Cricetulus griseus: one gene and its partners. The protein of the gene in region 1 purifies or fractionates together with the protein of each later gene. This does not show direct contact. Links are inferred from orthologs where the notes say so. Each region holds a gene or a part of one and is shown in the gene's direction. Other genes may lie near its edges.

Evidence for each region.
Region 2: the proteins of Cops8 (region 1) and Cul4b purify together in Homo sapiens (affinity purification with mass spectrometry; 7 studies listed by BioGRID and IntAct, counting the BioPlex papers as one, with this or other methods). This does not show direct contact. The link is inferred for Cricetulus griseus from reciprocal best matches to the Homo sapiens genes COPS8 and CUL4B.
Region 3: the proteins of Cops8 (region 1) and Cops7a purify together in Homo sapiens (affinity purification with mass spectrometry; 11 studies listed by BioGRID and IntAct, counting the BioPlex papers as one, with this or other methods). This does not show direct contact. The link is inferred for Cricetulus griseus from reciprocal best matches to the Homo sapiens genes COPS8 and COPS7A.

The regions. Positions count from the first base shown.
Region 1 is NC_048595.1:442,135,055-442,141,044, forward strand, and holds part of Cops8 (COP9 signalosome complex subunit 8), read left to right. Parts: intron 1-949; coding exon 950-1,082; intron 1,083-4,773; coding exon 4,774-4,881; intron 4,882-5,872; coding exon 5,873-5,935; intron 5,936-5,990. UniProt on the Homo sapiens protein: Component of the COP9 signalosome complex (CSN), a complex involved in various cellular and developmental processes.
Region 2 is NC_048604.1:28,546,615-28,552,604, forward strand, and holds part of Cul4b (cullin-4B), read left to right. Parts: intron 1-81; coding exon 82-200; intron 201-743; coding exon 744-936; intron 937-1,851; coding exon 1,852-1,956; intron 1,957-3,144; coding exon 3,145-3,255; intron 3,256-4,070; coding exon 4,071-4,156; intron 4,157-5,517; coding exon 5,518-5,625; intron 5,626-5,990.
Region 3 is NC_048601.1:21,453,470-21,458,432, forward strand, and holds part of Cops7a (COP9 signalosome complex subunit 7a), read left to right. Parts: intron 1-1,685; coding exon 1,686-1,761; intron 1,762-1,957; coding exon 1,958-2,046; intron 2,047-3,090; coding exon 3,091-3,293; intron 3,294-4,117; coding exon 4,118-4,223; intron 4,224-4,376; coding exon 4,377-4,528; intron 4,529-4,697; coding exon 4,698-4,737; 3' UTR 4,738-4,963.

The DNA.
Region 1 (5,990 bases):
GAACGGTTAAAGTTACAAACCTTCAGGTTTCTCCAATAGAATGGTGTGGAAATCTTGTTAGTGTACTGATGAGGTTTTGTGAGGCCTGCCTTGCCCTGTGGGTCAGCTGGTTCACAGCTGACCATTTCAGATGCAGGTGGCAACTGAGGGCTGGGGATTTCAGCAGACTACTTGGTTTCCTATAATGACCTTGTTTGGAAACTGGCATTATTTACATGAATAATCATTGCATGAAGATCACTTTGTTAATTAAAATTTCTTACTTGGGGTGGGAGATTAAATGCAATAACCTGAGAAAAGTTCCTTGCCGAGTAGAATGAAGAAGGATTTTATTTCACTTTTCTCTCTTACCCTGAACTGCTGCTTGTAAGAGTGAAGCAAGAGGGAGAAGCAGCAGGTGGTGTGAGTGGGATCCGCTGAGCTGATGTGAACGGGAGCTCTGCACATAGGCTCTGCATGGACATTGCCTTGCTAACCAGCTTTTGGTGGTCTTGTTCTAACTGAAGAAATGTCAGCATCTTAGGTTTAAATGGCAGTGCTTAAGATAATTGGTCCCCAGAAACTTTTTTTTTTACTTTCACATGCTTTGTGATTGTAGTAAAAACATTAATTGTAGAAATTTTGTTGACATTACTGCTCACAGCCTTTTAGTCAGCTCCAACCTTTGGACATTGCAAAACCATTCTATCACCTGCAAAGTTCAGAGTCTGGAACTGGGCACGCAAGTTACAAAAAAGAAAAAGGTTTCACAGTTCATACCTGTTCTTGGCCCTGTGGGCTGCAGATTGGACACTCCTGTTAGAAAAGTAATTGCAGCTCCTAAAACCAATAGTGTGTGTTTTAATGATACAGCTAACAAGTTTTGTGTCATTTCTGAGATTTTGTTTGAAGATACAGTCATTATTATTTTCAGAGCGAATTCCTTCAAAGGCAACAATATTTATTGCAGGCAAATTCTGAACTTGGGGGGATTTGGTCAGTAGGACAGCGAATCTGGCAGAGAGATTTCCCCGGGATCTATACCACCATCAATGCCCACCAGTGGTCGGAGACTGTGCAGCCAATCATGGAAGCCCTTAGAGGTAATGTTTCTTTGTGGTTCAAAGTCACGTGGCACTAAGCCTGTCCTTGGAGTCCTTGGAGGTGTAGTGCTGTGCTGTGTCAGTGTATACTTTTGAAGAAGACAGTTGTGATTTGTGGGTGCTTTTCAGGCTTGACCTAGATCTGTGTTAATTGTGATTCTTCATCTCATTACTGGGGATTCTGGGGGACATGGCAGGAGTGGAGGGTGTCACTGTTGATTCCAGATTGCAGTTATTCCATTGGCAATATCTTTTATCCTCTTTGTCACTATTTTTGTGGAGACAGGAAGGTTATGACAGGGTTCTCGCTGAGTAGCCCATTCTGTCCTTTATTCCTTGGATTACTGGTATGTACCACACATGTGGCCTTGTGAAAGGGTTCTTTGTTGTTAAAATGAAACTAGGCAGTAACGTAAAGTCGATGGTGTAGGTGGGTCAAGATTTTTTTAAGTCTGTGTACTTGAAAATCCACAGAATTTGGATTTTGTTAACCTTGGCCTTTGATAGATGTGTGTCCCCTGTATACATCTCATAAAAGGAACAAGCTTAGAATCTAAGTTTGTTTTCATTGTTTTGGAAGGTTAGAGGCCTGGTATGATGTGGTGCCGACACATAATAGCTCTGTCCCTGCCTCCCTCCTTTCTCACACTTCCCTGCCTGTGCTTCCAGTCTTTCTGGGTCACTCTTTCCTGTTTTTTTATTGGCCTTTGTGTGTGCGTGTGCATTGCACGCATGCTGGCCAACAGCATTGGATCCTCTGGAGGTAGACTCACTGGCACTTCTGAGCCACTGGGCTTGGGAGCTGGGAACCAGATTCAGGTCTTGAAAGAGCAGAACATATACAGACTCTTAGCCACTCTAGCATTCTGGCCTCATCACACACATTCATACAGTGATCTCTCTTTCATTGTTCCACTCTTGCAGTCACTACCTGCCTTTAGTGTATTCTTTCAGTTGGGGACTGATGTTGATGTAAAGGTCCTCATCAGCAGGGTAAGGACTCGGTGTACCAGGGAGCAGAGAGTAAGGATGGCTGGAGAGCTGCACCAGTCCATTCTCTGCAGTAGTACCTGGTCAGCATAAAGCAGAACAGTGTAAATGACAAAGCAGGAAATAGATGCTTTGAATAAGCATGAGCCGAATTTGAGGGTAGACGCGGGCAGGGGGAGGAGTGTGGAGTGAGGTTACATGGGTGCCGTGTTGCTTGAGAGCTGTCGTGGCAAGATCCCTGGAAGGAGCCACTGGAGAGTGGACTGGCAGGGTTGGGGTCAGCCTGGTAAGTGCAGGCTGCCTTTTCCAGGTGTTGGACTGCAGGGTCACAGTCAGGACTTGGGTATGGGCTCCCTACTTATCCAGTGAGTATTCTGTGTGTTTTATTTTTTCCTAGTACCACCTTGCACTGGATTCCCTGTGAAATTAAGAGTTGCTTCCAGCCCACAGACACCCATTCTGTCTAGTGTAGCTTGTTGGAGTTTGATCACTGGAGCCAAGCATTTGAGTTTTCATTTTGGCTCATCAACCTGCTGAGCTTCATTTCATTGTTTTGAAATAAAACTGAAGAGTTGACTTGTAAACCCTGGTCATAGCCTGAGACGCTGTTCTATTCAATCCATGAAGATTTTCTTGAGACTTAACAAATCTCCAGATTCCTAAATGATCTGTAAAATGCCAGCCTGGTAAGGCAGTCTCAAAACAGATTGGAATTTCTGCGGAGTTTGATGCTTTGCTTTTTAGGGTATTATAAATTTGTTTTCTAGTTAAAGGTGCCACATTCGGACTTTCTGTCTGAACATCTCAGTGCTATTAGGAAATTAGAGCTTTCTTGGCTAAAGAGCCTGATGGGAGAGCAGTTTGTTACAGAAAGCCAGAAAGGGCTGGCAAAGCACTGAGGGAGTAGATGTTCATAACAGTCACTCTCACCCAAAGCCTGAGGGGATGGGATGAGGGAACAGTATTACTGGACCCTAGAACAGGCCTGATTCCAGAGCTGTGGGGAGACCACAGCTAGAGCAAGTTGGGAGACCAATGTGTGGCTGCTGATCAGCACTAGAATGCAGAGCCTTTATTTCTGCATCCATTATCAGCCTATTCCTGCCCCTCCTCTGTCTGTCCTTCCGTTCTTGTTAGCCCTCTCCTGCCTCTCCACAAACCTGCTGCTTTTCTCATGTGGCTCCTGTCTATTCCCTACTCCAAAAGTCTAACCAGAATATTTGAACTAAAGATAGTGATTTTAAATGGTGGGAGATGGTTATGGTGCACACTCTATATGTATGTTCTTGCCATGCTGCCTTGGTTCTTTTCCACTGAATGTCTGACTCCTTCATAGGGGAATTTCTGCGCCTCCGAGACATTCTCAATGTCTGCCTGGGGGTTGGTAGTCTCAAGCAGAGTGCAAGTGTAAAGACAGAGGAGGAGTGGTGAAAATGGAGCGCGGCTTCCTGTCGGCGTGCTGTCTGTGTGTGGAAGACTGCGCATACTGCCATGGTGTGCTTCTAGCAGGCATAGGTTTCTCTCCTTCCACCTTTACAGAGCACAGGGGACAAGCTCAGGGCTCCAGGCTTGGGTAGCAAACGCCTTTACCCACTAAGCCATTTCCAGGTCCATTGTATATGCAGTTTTCCAGAGCTGTGAAAAAGCTTGTGGTTGAAGGCATGCCCCATTTTGGTTACTGTCAGCAAGCCAGGTTCACAGTTGTACTGCAAGAAATGTTGTTTCCAACCTTTTAACAGTGGGGCCCAGAGCTCAGGAGTGAGGTGTGAAGAGTAGTCTGGCCAAGGGCACTAGTTTGGAGCAAAAGGTGCCTGAAGGGACCTGCGTTCCTTGGTTGACAGTGCAAAGGGGAAATTTCAGTGTGTTAAGGGGTTGGTTTTATGTGTCCAGTTGCCTCAACTGTAGACTATAAAATCTGGTTATTTCTGAAGCAGGTTGGCAGCCTTCTGAAGGAGCCTTTTATTACCAAAAGGGCACTGTACAGGAGGACTAGCTGGGTTGGATGGGGCATTTGTCTTATTCTGTAATTTTCTTAATGTAGATACATACGTGAGCATGGGGAAATGTGGAAGGCTGTTTCCAGGGATATCTTATGTCTGGGCCTGGCAGCACCTTCTCTTGAGAGTTAGACCTTCAAGCTTGGGTTCAGGGTTCTGACTTGGTGCCCACTTGAAGTTAGAAACAGGTGCTGGGGATAAGGTTTGTGCTCCTGCATTGGAGGAATCCTGTACTGGATACCCTCCCGAGAGGGGCAGCTGTATTCTCACCTATTCTGCTAGTGTTTGCAAGTGAAATGGAGCAAAGGAAATTTAAAATGTTTGTACCTAAATTCGTAAATGTTTGCCTTCTTAAGATTGGGGTCTTAGCCCGGCGTGGCACACACCTTTAATCCCAGCACTCGGGAGGCAGAGGCAGGCGGATCTCTGTGAGTTCGGTGCCAGGATGGGCTCCAAAGAAACCGTGTCTCAAAAAAAAAAATAAATAAATAGGGGTCTTATGGTTGCGGATGTTGTTTTCTACCTCTGGCTTTTGTCAGCATCTGATGTGAGGAATGTGTGTGTTCACTCAGTATGGGGTCCCTCAGACCTTCTGGGCATGCGGTGCGTCTAGTCTTGCCTGTAAATAAAAACCGGTTGACAGAACTGTGTTTAAGAGTCCTCTTTTCTTGGTTCCTGCTGCCAACCCTCCCCTCCCACAATAGATGCAACGAGGAGACGCGCCTTCGCCCTGGTCTCTCAAGCTTATACCTCCATAATTGCAGATGATTTTGCAGCCTTTGTTGGACTTCCTGTGGAAGAAGCTGTGAAAGGTACTTGGAGCTTGCTGGTTCCTTACAGGGGAACAGAAATCACAAATCCTGGGTTCACTGTTGCTCCTCTGGAACTCTAGGAGAATGGTGGGAATTTGGGTGGTAGGGTTTTTTTAGGAAGTGATAACAAAGCCCACGTCACCCAGCACCTCCGTGTTTCAGCTGTAACCAAACACAGGAGTGTCCCTGTGCAGCTGTGTAGTCATTTGCATAGCTGCTTAAGAAAGCACTTCTCAATTGACCAAATCCCCCAGGTTTGCCCTTCCCTGCTCTAAAAGACAGTCCTGCCTCCACAGTACATTTTAGTTCATTGCCCCAGTCCCTCGGCCATGCCCAAGTACCTTTTGCAGCTCTTAACCCACAGGTAGAACTGTGGGTGCTTGGTGTTGCCCCACCCCTGGGCAACTGTCAGGGTATGCACACTGACATTCAGGCAGATACTTAGCTCAAAGGGCCCTGTGTTTTGTGGATACAGGTAATGTAAGGACTCTGTAAGCATGTGCAAGCTTTCTTCTTTTAAGGGAACACCTCCCACCTGTTCCCCTTCCATCTCTGTTCCCGGTTGGCCAACACCTGCCCCTCCCTTTGCTCTTTTCTCCCTTTCCCTATAAGCTCCACATGGTTTTTGTTGAGTTTTGTTAGTGGTTCCTGTTTCATCACCCACAGCTGCAGCAGACAACAACACTTGGTTACATTGTTTTACAGTGATTGATAGTCATAGGCATTTCTTATTTCTATTTGGAATTAGACTAATTAGGTCACTACTACAGACCACTAAGCATGTCAGTGATTATATCAGCCCCAGAGAGGAAAGGGAAGCTTTCAGTATTTTCAGGATATTTCAAAAATAAGTTTATACGATCCCTGTAGTAACCTTCCTAGTAAAGACACACCCACTGAGTGTGGCACTGCAGCGGTGACCGAGTGGCAGGGGTGGGTCGTGCGGGCACTTGTGCGCTTCCCCATCTGCATGTGAACTCTGCACTTTCAGGTGTATTGGAACAAGGATGGCAAGCCGACTCTGCCACAAGAATGGTTCTTCCCAGGAAGCCAGGTAGGTGGATCCTCAGAGACAAAGGACATCAGAACAGAATGACATGGAAGGTCAC
Region 2 (5,990 bases), on another chromosome or scaffold:
AACCTACATTTTATTAAAATACATGGCAATTTTATTCACTCTTTGATTCTTATATTTTAATGCCAAAATATTTCAAACCAGGTTTAAATAACCTCCTTGATGAAAACCGAATTCAAGATTTGTGTCTCCTGTATCAGCTCTTCAGTAGAGTTCGAGGTGGAGTTCAGGTTCTCTTACAGCAATGGATTGAGTATATCAAGGTATTAACAGTTTACCCTTTGATGTTTCTCTTGAATGTTTTGTAATGTGCATACCAAGAATATCAGCAGTTCTTGTCAGATGCATTTTTTAAAGGAAGGAATTTAAAAAAGAAATTGAAATATCAGCCTGCGAATAGTAGCTGTGTGGCAGTGTTCGATGGGATTTCTATCTAGCTCTAAGATTTAAATCGGTGAATATGGGAAATTCAATGATTGTTGGCATTCTGCAGCCATTTGGTCTATTCTTACAAATTTGAACCTCAAATCCTTCCTTCCCTCCCTTCCTCACCACATTCCTATTTTGAAAAGTACAGATCTGACTTCCTTAACAATAAGAAGCTTCTAGAGTAATAATAACACCCCATTTACGATAGCGTATAACCAGTGATCATTAGTTTTTGTATTTATGAATGAAGATTATCTGTTGAGGTATTTTCTACTTTACTTCGGAGACAGCTGTGCCTTTTCTATGATTGCTAAATACATGTACCAAGTTAAAATATGATGTGTTGATTATTTTCCTTATACCATTGTCATTCGCAGGCTTTTGGAAGTACTATTGTTATCAACCCTGAAAAAGATAAAACCATGGTTCAGGAGCTGTTGGACTTTAAAGATAAAGTTGATCATATAATTGATATCTGCTTCCTGAAAAATGAAAAATTTATCAATGCTATGAAAGAAGCATTTGAAACATTCATTAATAAGAGACCAAATAAACCAGCTGAACTCATAGGTATGTTGCACATTCTTTTTCCGGTTGTGAAATTTTTTTATTGATAAACTCTGAGGTGAAAACATATTATACCTATGTCTTGTTTGTTTGATGTTGCTTAGCTACTAATACCAAGTCTGAAAGAGTGTCTCTAAGGACATGTATGTAAGATATATAAATTCCTTCAAGCTAAACACCTTCTCAAAGCCTTCATGTCAAACATGACATAAATTCTTTGTGAGATAGAACATTGGACCCCATTTACTTTTAGTGAGTAAACTTGATTTTGTACTTTCTAAGCCTATAGGGATTTAGAAATGGGGCAGAACACTATTTTCTAAAGGTCTCCAGTTATACAGGAAAAGGCCAGCATGAAATTTCCAAATGACAAGGAATAAAAAGTCTAGGATGAAAATAAATCTAATGATACAGGCTGACTAAATATGCAGGTGTGTTGCAGTGCTTCTCACGGTTCCTTACACATGCACTAGTACCTAGGGAGCTAGGTCCTCTGCCAAAAGGATGAAGTCAGGTTTGGTTAAAGTCAAATTTTGTTTGCATTTAAACATTTTATAAATTGTGCCTTCTGCTCTATTGTTTCTGGTTTGTTCAAATAGAAAAGTAATGTTTAAGGATGCTGACCATCTATGTAAAATACAAACTTTAGAGGATACCCATGTTTTCTGGTGACTTTGTTTACCCTCTACACAGAGCTACTTGGAGTCTTCACCATGAGCTCGTCTGACTTCATTTTATCTCTCTCCTCTCTTGAGTCAGACTTAATGCTTTTAGGCTGCAGTATGTATTATCCTCATGACATTGACAGCTTTATCTCTCTTATTGGAGACTTATAAAATGCATGTACATATAATAGACATACTGAAGAGAGTAGACACCCATGGTCACTAAACAGCAATGTTTTTTTCTCCATTTTAGCTAAGTATGTGGATTCAAAACTTCGTGCAGGCAACAAAGAAGCTACAGACGAAGAGCTGGAGAAAATGTTGGATAAAATAATGATTATATTTAGATTTATCTATGGTAATTGTTGCTTACTGCTTTCATGTTTTTCTTTTAAAACAAAGCACTCTGAGCCAGGCATAGTGGTAGATACCTGTAGTCTAGAATTAGGGAGGCTGAGGCAGCATTGCTCTATAGATTATATGGTGAGTATCAGACGAACTTAGGACAACATAGCAAGGCCTTGTCTCCAAACAAACAAAAACCAAAACAAATAAAGCACTCCTAGATGTATGAGAAATGTTTATATAACCTGGAGAGACTGTTAGGGAACTAGAGGTTGCATTTTATTTATTGCATATTTTTAATTCCTTAAGAATAGTTGAGGAAGGGGCTGGAGAAAGACTCAGTGGTTAGGAACACTAGCTGCTCTTCCAGAGGTCCTGAGTTCAAGTCCCAGCAACCAAATGGTGGCTCACAACCATCTGTAATGAGATCGGGTGTCCTCTTCTGGTGTTCGTGAAGACAGGTTACTCATATACATACAATAAATAAATATTTTAAAAAAGAATAGTTGAGGAAGCCGGGCGGTGATAGAGCATGCGTTTAATCCCAGCACTGTGGAGGCAGAGGCAAGCAGATCTCTGTGAGAGGTGGAGGCCAGCTTGGTCTACAGAGCAAGTTTCAGAACAACCAGGTCTGTTATGCCAACAAACCTTGTATCAAAAAACCAAGTGGAAAAAAGGAATAGTTGAGGAATGTAACTAAATTACCTTATGCTTTGACCTTTCCACTAATATGAACCTGGGAATTTGCTGATTATTTTAATCTCTTGAGTTTTGGTGCTAACAGTACCTGTGTACTAAAGTGTTTTTTTTTTTTTTTTTTTTTTGGCTGAAGAAAAGTTAATACAGTCTTAATTTTTTTTTTTTTCGAGACAGGGTTTCTCTGTGTAGCTTTGGAGCCTATTCTGGCACTTGCTCTGGAGACCAGGCAGGCCTCGAACTCAGAGTTCTTCCTGCCTCTGCCTCCTGAGTGCTGGGATTAAAGGCATGCACCACCAACGCCCGGCCCCAGTCTTAAATTTTTTATAGTAAAGAATTTTGAATTGTCTGGCACAGACATAGACTTCTAGTGTTTTTGAGTTTAATAAACTTGGATAAAATGTATAAAGTAAAATAACTTGAGGTTCTGTGATTAAGCTTTTTGAAGCCATTTTGTTACAACTTTACTTGGCATATCATGAGTTCTATTTTTTATTTAATACAGGCAAAGATGTTTTTGAGGCCTTCTATAAGAAAGATTTAGCCAAACGCCTATTAGTTGGCAAGAGTGCATCTGTAGATGCTGAAAAGTCAATGCTGTCCAAACTGAAACATGGTATGTTTGCCGTTTTCTTTCCTTGTTTATTATTTAAATTTTCCTTTCTTTAATGTTTGAGGGAAATGTTGAGTTCATTGTACTATTTTCATTGATGGCTTTCTTTTGTCGATCATTTCATATGCACATGATGGTACTGGTACAGATGATGGGAAAGTAAACTAAGGGGATGGGGAGGATGGCTCAGTGGGTAAGAGCCCTTGCTGTGCAAGCTTGAGGGCCTGAGTTTAAATCCCCTGCATCCATGTAAAAAGGCCATGTGTACTTGTATAACCCAGTGGCTCTAGGGATTGGGTGAGGGTGGGAGACAAGAGGATCTCTGGGGCTTCCTGGATGCCAGCCTAGCTCTTGATGCAATGAAATATCCTGTTTCAAAGGAATAAAGCAGAATGTGGTAAAGCAGTTTAGCCAACGTCCTCTGGCTTTTCCATGCATGAGTGGATACCCGTATCTATACATACATTCCCTGACCCCCCTACACACACAAACCCATAAATTCAGTGAGCTTATGAGGGTCCTAGCTTCTTGTTGGATTTCCACAGTCATTGGCTTTTGTTTTAAAGATAAAGCATTATTATTCTGTTTATTTGTATAAAAAGTTCCCAAATATACCTGAAAGTGGATAAGGTTGCTATATGATTCAAGAGTTTGCCTCTGAATTAGTAGGGCACACACTGGGGGGTAAGAATTTCTTCTCATTCTTATCAATAGTTATAGTCTTATTTTATGGCCAAGTAAGATTTGCCCTTTTTGATTATTAAATGTTTTGTTTGTACTACCTTGAAATATTACAAATATGTGAACATCTTTAATAGAATGTGGAGCTGCGTTCACCAGCAAGCTTGAAGGGATGTTTAAAGACATGGAGCTTTCTAAAGACATCATGATTCAGTTCAAACAGGTAAAAGTGAGTTAAACTCTTAGGAATTCCTTGAACTTAAGGATATTTATGTTATGTCTTTGTGTCAGTCCATATTGAAGAGGATAAATAGAAACATCTATTTGTTACAAATAACTTCATGGCAACTTAAATGGTACAGTAGAGGGAACAGATCATCAGTGTGTAAATTTAAGAGCGTTTGACCTCCTTCAGCATTTAGTCTTAGCAAACACTTAGAATAAGACTGAAACATAAGTAAATGCATGAGACCAAAGTTCGTGTAAGAAGAATTATAACTAGACAGTAAGATTGGGGTTTCTTGACATCTAATTGGTTGGAAGATTTGTATGTTCAGAGCTTGTAATGGGAGAGGTGAGGAGATAAAAGGTGGGGGTGGTATATAATATCTCTGGGGACATTTGGGATGAGAGGCTGGATCTGTAGTTCTGAAGACATGGATAGAAGGTTGTTTTAAAATATTTTAAGAACATAACCAGATACGGTTTTTATAACTGTAGTCTTAGCTACTTTGGATGCTGAAATAATGACACATGGGCAATAGATTGAGACCCTGTCTTAGACATCAGTAGCAACACCTAGGCAATAATGATGGCACATGTCATGTTACACTCTCAGAGTTTCATTAATGACTTCTTGACCACTGTAGAACTGAAGGCCTAGAGAAAGTTAGGAGTCACTAGCTGCAGGATAGGGTTTATCTTCCTTGCCCTTTCCCCTTCTTCTTCCTTTCCCACTTCAGGTCACCACCTTCAAACAGGGAATGGAACAGTTGAAAAACCTGAGACTTGGGCTGGCTGGTGGGGTGAGGAATGGGAGTTGCTGCAAGGTGTTCCAATTCATGTAGGGGTCTCCAAAGGTGGGGACTACAGGTAGCATTGGGGTAAAAGAATGGAGAAGAGATGCTATAACAGCCCAGGTATATGTGATAAGTTGAGTTAATAATGCCTAGGATGTTTTTGTAGGATTTTTATGCTACTATATCAAAATAGCCACCTATTTATTTTTCTACTGCATTTTGTGTAACCTTCGTTTCAAGTCTTAATAGTTAATTGCCTTTATTTTCAGGATGGTTAGTATTCACATACATTTTTAGAATAAGGAAATTATTAAATAAGTCAACATTATGGTATGATATGTACACTTTTTTTTTTGGTTTTTTGGAGACAGGGTTTCTCTGTGTACCTTTGAAGCCTATCCTGACACTCGCTCTAGAGACCAGGCTGGCCTCGAACTCACAGAGATCCACCTGCCTCTGCCTCTGCCTCTGCCTCCAGAGTGCTGGGATTAAAGGCGTGCGCCACCAATGCCTGGCGACATGTACACTTTTGTGATCTTAATTGTATGTGTTGATCTTTTTATAGTATATGCAGAACCAGAATGTACCTGGCAATATCGAATTAACTGTGAATATCCTGACAATGGGTTACTGGCCAACATATGTGCCTATGGAAGTCCATTTGCCACCAGAGGTAAGATTAACTGTTTCAGACCTAAGCTATAGGGATAGAAATCACACATTTTCTGCTTTTCATTTGAAAATATGTGCCTTTTAAAGGCTTATGTCAGCAAAGAAACCAACAGAATATGAGTGTTAATATTTTATTCTTTTATTCCAATTTCCAAGTCCACTTGAGCACATTAATGAAGGTAGGTCTCTAAATTCAGTATTGTTTTCCCCAATTAGTCTTCTATTTCTTAGCTTATGACCCCTTAATCTTCCTAACTGTCAAAAACTCTTGTCCATATTTCACCTGAAGGCAGGACTGGTGAATATGATGGATACATGAGTGTCCTCTAATGTCTTAGAAACTGTCCTACTCAGGAACAAAGCCTC
Region 3 (4,963 bases), on another chromosome or scaffold:
CCAGTGTGATACCTCTTAATAATCATGTCACCAGCTCAGTAGTGGAGGGGTATCTTTAATCTCAGCACTCAAGAGTCAGAGGGAGGTGGAGTTCTGAGTTAGAGGCCAGCCTGGTCTACAGAATGAGTTTCAGGCCCGCCAATGCTGTTACATAGAGAAGCCCTGTCTCAAAAAAAAAAAAAAACAAAAACAACAACAACAACAAAAAAAAACCAAGGCCTGGCAGTGGTGGCACACACTTGCAGAGGCAGGCGGACCTCTGTGATTTCCAGGTCAGCCTGGTCTACAGAGCAAGTTCCAGGACAGGTTCCAAAGCTACAGAGAAACCCTGTCTCAAAACAAAACAAAAAGAAAAAAAAAATGTCACCTTGATCAGAGAAACCTTATTAAAAGGCTCACTTTTCTCCTAAAAATGGTGATGAGAAACTGGAACATGACTCAGTTGATAAGAGTGCTTGCCTAGCATTCGTGGGGCCTCGGGGTCCTTTTCAGAACTTGGGATGCTAAGGCGGGGGATCACAAATATTGGGCCAGCCTATGCAACTTAGAGTCCATCTCAAAAAGGAGTAGGGATGTAGCTCAGTGAAAGAGCCCTTGTCTATAGCATGCAAGGCTCTCTATAGCTTGATTCTCAGAACTGCAAAAAGGAAAAAAGTACTGCCTCTCAACAATTACAGAAGTAAAATTATGGGAAAGTCTAAAGCCTCCTAAAAATGTAAAGATGAGCATATTATCATGCTATGTTACCTCCCCAAGTGTCGAATATACAAATTCGTTTATGGTAGATAATGAAGACAATGTCTTCTTCCCAAAGACAATGGTAAACTGCTATGAACACAGCAAAGAGCATCAATAACAAATGGCCAGTCAAGAGCTTGAAGTATAGAGCAAATGGATGGCCAACACTGTGTCACTGGCCTCTGTCCTGAGAGGCTAACAGTAGTGTGGCTAAACTGAGCCGAGTTTTAAGAGGCCTCTGGTTGAATTAGAGGATATAATGTGTTTTGGGTTGCCGTTTATAGAAAACTGGCGCTATCTTTTGTTCCTGATTTTATCTACAGTGAACTAAAGTATAGTTTTAAGATAAGTAGAAGAAACATTTTCTAATTGCCTTACAGTGTTTAGTATTCTGCAAAATATAAGGCTACAGGTTTGCCCTTCAAGCTTGTATTCAGTTAAAGAGATCAGATAAATGGATGAAACTGTGGAAGACAGTTATTTAGCAAGAGTTTAGTTTGAGGGCTGCAATTCTGCTGCATCCTTGTAGGCTAATGGATGCTGGGTCTCTGGCCTTATTAAAAACTATTGTTAGTTAGGTGAGATGCTGCATGTCTGATATGCCAGGATGAGTGAGCGGTGATTCGAGATACTGGTGGATGATGTAAGACCACCTCACTGAGGACAGTCAGAAGCAGAGGCCACAAATTCTGTGCCCTCTGAGAGCCAAACTAACTTACAATATCTGATGTGTGTGTATGATACACCAAACACCCCTGATTTAGAGTAGGAATTTGATGCATAGCATAACAAAAGAGCTCGAGGTAGGAGTGAGCCCTCAGCAACAGTGTATGCTCGGAAATGTATAGAAGGCCTTTTGGTGAACCAGGATAGGTACTCTTGGGAGGATGGGTCAGAAAGTTGAGTTCAAATAGCTCCTTCTTGTCACTTCCCTGATGTTCTTGCAGTTGGCAGAAAGCGACTTTGCCTCCACCTTCCGGCTGCTCACAGTGTTTGCCTATGGGACCTATGCTGACTACTTAGGTAAATGGGGGCTGGAGCTGTGGAGCTATGGAGACAGGGGAAGGGTGGTTTCTGGAGAGACTTGGAAGAAATTTCTGGGGTGCCCCACTTAGATGGCGTAAGTGAACCTCTGGGCAATCTAAGACCGTAATTGGTGCAGAAAACTTGTAAGAAACTGCTAAAAATAAGATGCCTGGGCTTCTGTCCCCTTCCCTAGCTGAAGCCAGGAATCTTCCCCCACTTACCGAGGCTCAGAAGAATAAGCTTCGGCATCTCTCAGTTGTCACTCTGGCTGCCAAAGTCAAGGTAAGTGACAGTCCTGCCGCCTACCAGTCCAAAGCCAGAGACTGCCTATTGTTTGTCACTGGGAGTCTCCACCAGGACAGCTGTTGACCTCACTCTGTCTAGGTCTGAACTGAAACTCCATTACTGCAGTCATGGAGGCTGTAGTTTCTCAGTTTGAACCTAAGTTCTAAGTTACCATCTTTTGTGTTTGGTGTCAAAATAGATACTGGGATCCTGATAATCCTCGTTCATTCACCATACAGAGTCCCAGGACAACAAAGCCTCAGAGCTAGAAATGGGGTTCTTCCCCTGGAACTGCCAGGCTTGTGTGCTACAATAAGACATAATGTGTACCTCAGAAGTGTCTGTGTCCCTGTGGGCCCAGCTTTTTGTTACACTACACCACGTGTTCCTAGTCTTCACTCTCCCAGGCATTAGCTAGAATTGAGTCCTGGTGACTTTTGTTGGGATCAGACTCACAATTGAGGAGGCCTCAAAGGTGAGGCCAGTTTGTAACTTGGCTAAGTCCAAGTGTTAAACAGAGTAACTCCAGACCCCTCCTATGTATAGTCCTCTGATGTCAAGCTGATGTAATACAATATCCTTAGCTACTGCCAAAGAAATGGCCCAGGAAGATGTCGCACTCTTTCACTGTGCTGGGGCAAGTGGGGCATAGTAGGGTAGCATCTCTGTGTGTTAAGAGTGTCTTTTTGAGTCTGGGGTCATGTCTTATGTAATCCAACACTTGGGAGGCTGAGACAGAAGGATTAGTGTAAGATCAAGTCTAGCCTGGACTACATAGTGAGGTTCAAGCCAGCCTGGGCTATAGAATAAGAGCCTGGGTCAGAGTACATTAAAGAAAAGGAAAAAGAAGGAAGGATTGTCCTTTTCTGATGATGTTTTGAGGTGGTGATACGTTTGCTTTAGAACTAACATTTCCTGGGAAATGGTTTAGAGATAGGAATGGAGGACCTGTGGGACTCAGCAGTGGGGAAAAGAGGGAGGAGGATATGGAAAGTCCTCTGCTTTTGAGCCCCACAAACCCTGGTCTGACCCTGGACCCAGTGTATCCCATATGCAGTGTTGCTGGAGGCCCTTGCCCTTCGTAACGTGCGCCAGCTGGAAGACCTTGTGATCGAGGCCGTGTATGCAGATATCCTGCGGGGCTCCCTGGACCAGCGCAATCAGCGGCTGGAGGTTGACTACAGCATCGGGAGAGACATCCAGCGCCAGGACCTCAGTGCCATTGCCCGAACCCTGCAGGAGTGGTGAGAACTTGTCAGGCCTTAACCATCCCCTTATGTGAGCAGGAGAGAGCAGGGATTGGGCTGCAGAGGGTTAGTCCAATTGGAGAGAAAGAAACCAGTACTTTGCTCTGGAAGCTTCTGAGGGAACAAGCTTGAAGGAGATGCTGGGTGCTAAGAGGCAGGATTGTTGGAGCAGTAATTGGGGTTCTTGGGGGTTCTTCATGGGAGGTTTGTCACTGTCATAGGCACATAACACATGGGCCATGGGTCTCTCTTCCAATTTCTTCTTTGTATCCCTATAACTTCATTGTGACCTCACTTTGTATCCCAGGCTGGCTTTGAACTCAAAATCCTTCTGCCTCTGCCTCCCAGTATTGAGATTACAGGCATGCACAGTTACACACCACCGTGCCTGGCACTCGTGTTTGTGTGTGTGGTAGAGGGGTGCAGGTGAAGGCAGGTACTCACAGAGGCTAGAGGCGTCAGATCCCACTGGAGCTGGTGGTTGTGAGCTGCCTGGTGTGGGTGCTGGGAACCAAACTCAGGCTCTCTGGAAGAGCAATGCATCTTCTTTACCACTGAGCCATTTCCCCAACAGCGCCCAGCCCCACCCACGCTGTGTGTGTCACTCAGCTACTCCCTTATCCCTTCCTTCTCCTACTCCAGGGGGTTTGCTGATGAAAATACTGTTGTAGCTGGTTCCCGGGTGCCTGGTGAGGGCTCCCAGCCTTGGCAGGGGTTTCGAGTCCAGCTTGGAGGCTTGCTTTTGAGGTTTTGTTTTGTTTTTAGGAGTTTATGATCACAGGCCTCTTCTGCTAACACTTCATCTGCTCTGATTCCCACAGGTGTGTAGGCTGTGAGGTCGTGCTGTCCGGCATCGAGGAGCAAGTCAGCCGTGCCAACCAGCACAAGGAGCAACAGCTGGGCCTGAAGCAACAGATCGAGAGTGAGGTAAGCAGGTAGGGAACAGGTCAGCTACAGCTACTGCCCTGGGCTCCTGGCCTGTGCACGTGCTGGATGTGGCTGAGGCAAACTGATAAGATAATCAGGATCTGTCAGGTTCTGGACCTACTTTGCTATCTGCCATTCCTTTCATCCTGATAGGTTGCCAACCTTAAAAAAACCATTAAAGTTACAACAGCGGCAGCTGCTGCAGCCACTTCTCAGGATCCAGAACAACACCTGACCGAGCTGAGAGAACCAGCTCCTGGCACCAACCAGCGCCAGCCCAGCAAGAAAGCCTCAAAGGGCAAGGGGTGAGCCCGTGCGGGGAGCCGCTTGCTTCTGGGTACCCCACATTTACCTCAGGGGCCTCAGCCTGGCTGCTCCACTTGCTTTAGTCATGTGCATGGGGTCGGGAATGGGGGTGTCCTCCAGGAATTAGGGGACCCCTTGCATCCCCTCTCTCTCTCTTCCCCTTGCCAGACTCCGAGGGAGCGCCAAGATTTGGTCCAAGTCGAACTGAAAGGACTTGTTTCTTCCCTGGGAATGTGGGGTCCCAGCTGCCTACCTGCCTACCCCTTAGGAGTCCTCAGAGCCTTCTGTGCCCCTGGCCAGCTGATAATCCTAGCTCATGACTTTTCATCTCCTCCACCCCCAAGCATAAGCCACATCCCCTATAGGGAGAAGGCCAGTCCAGGTCACGTCTTGTTGGTACTTGTTATGTGTTCCATTGCCTCTCTTCCCTGACA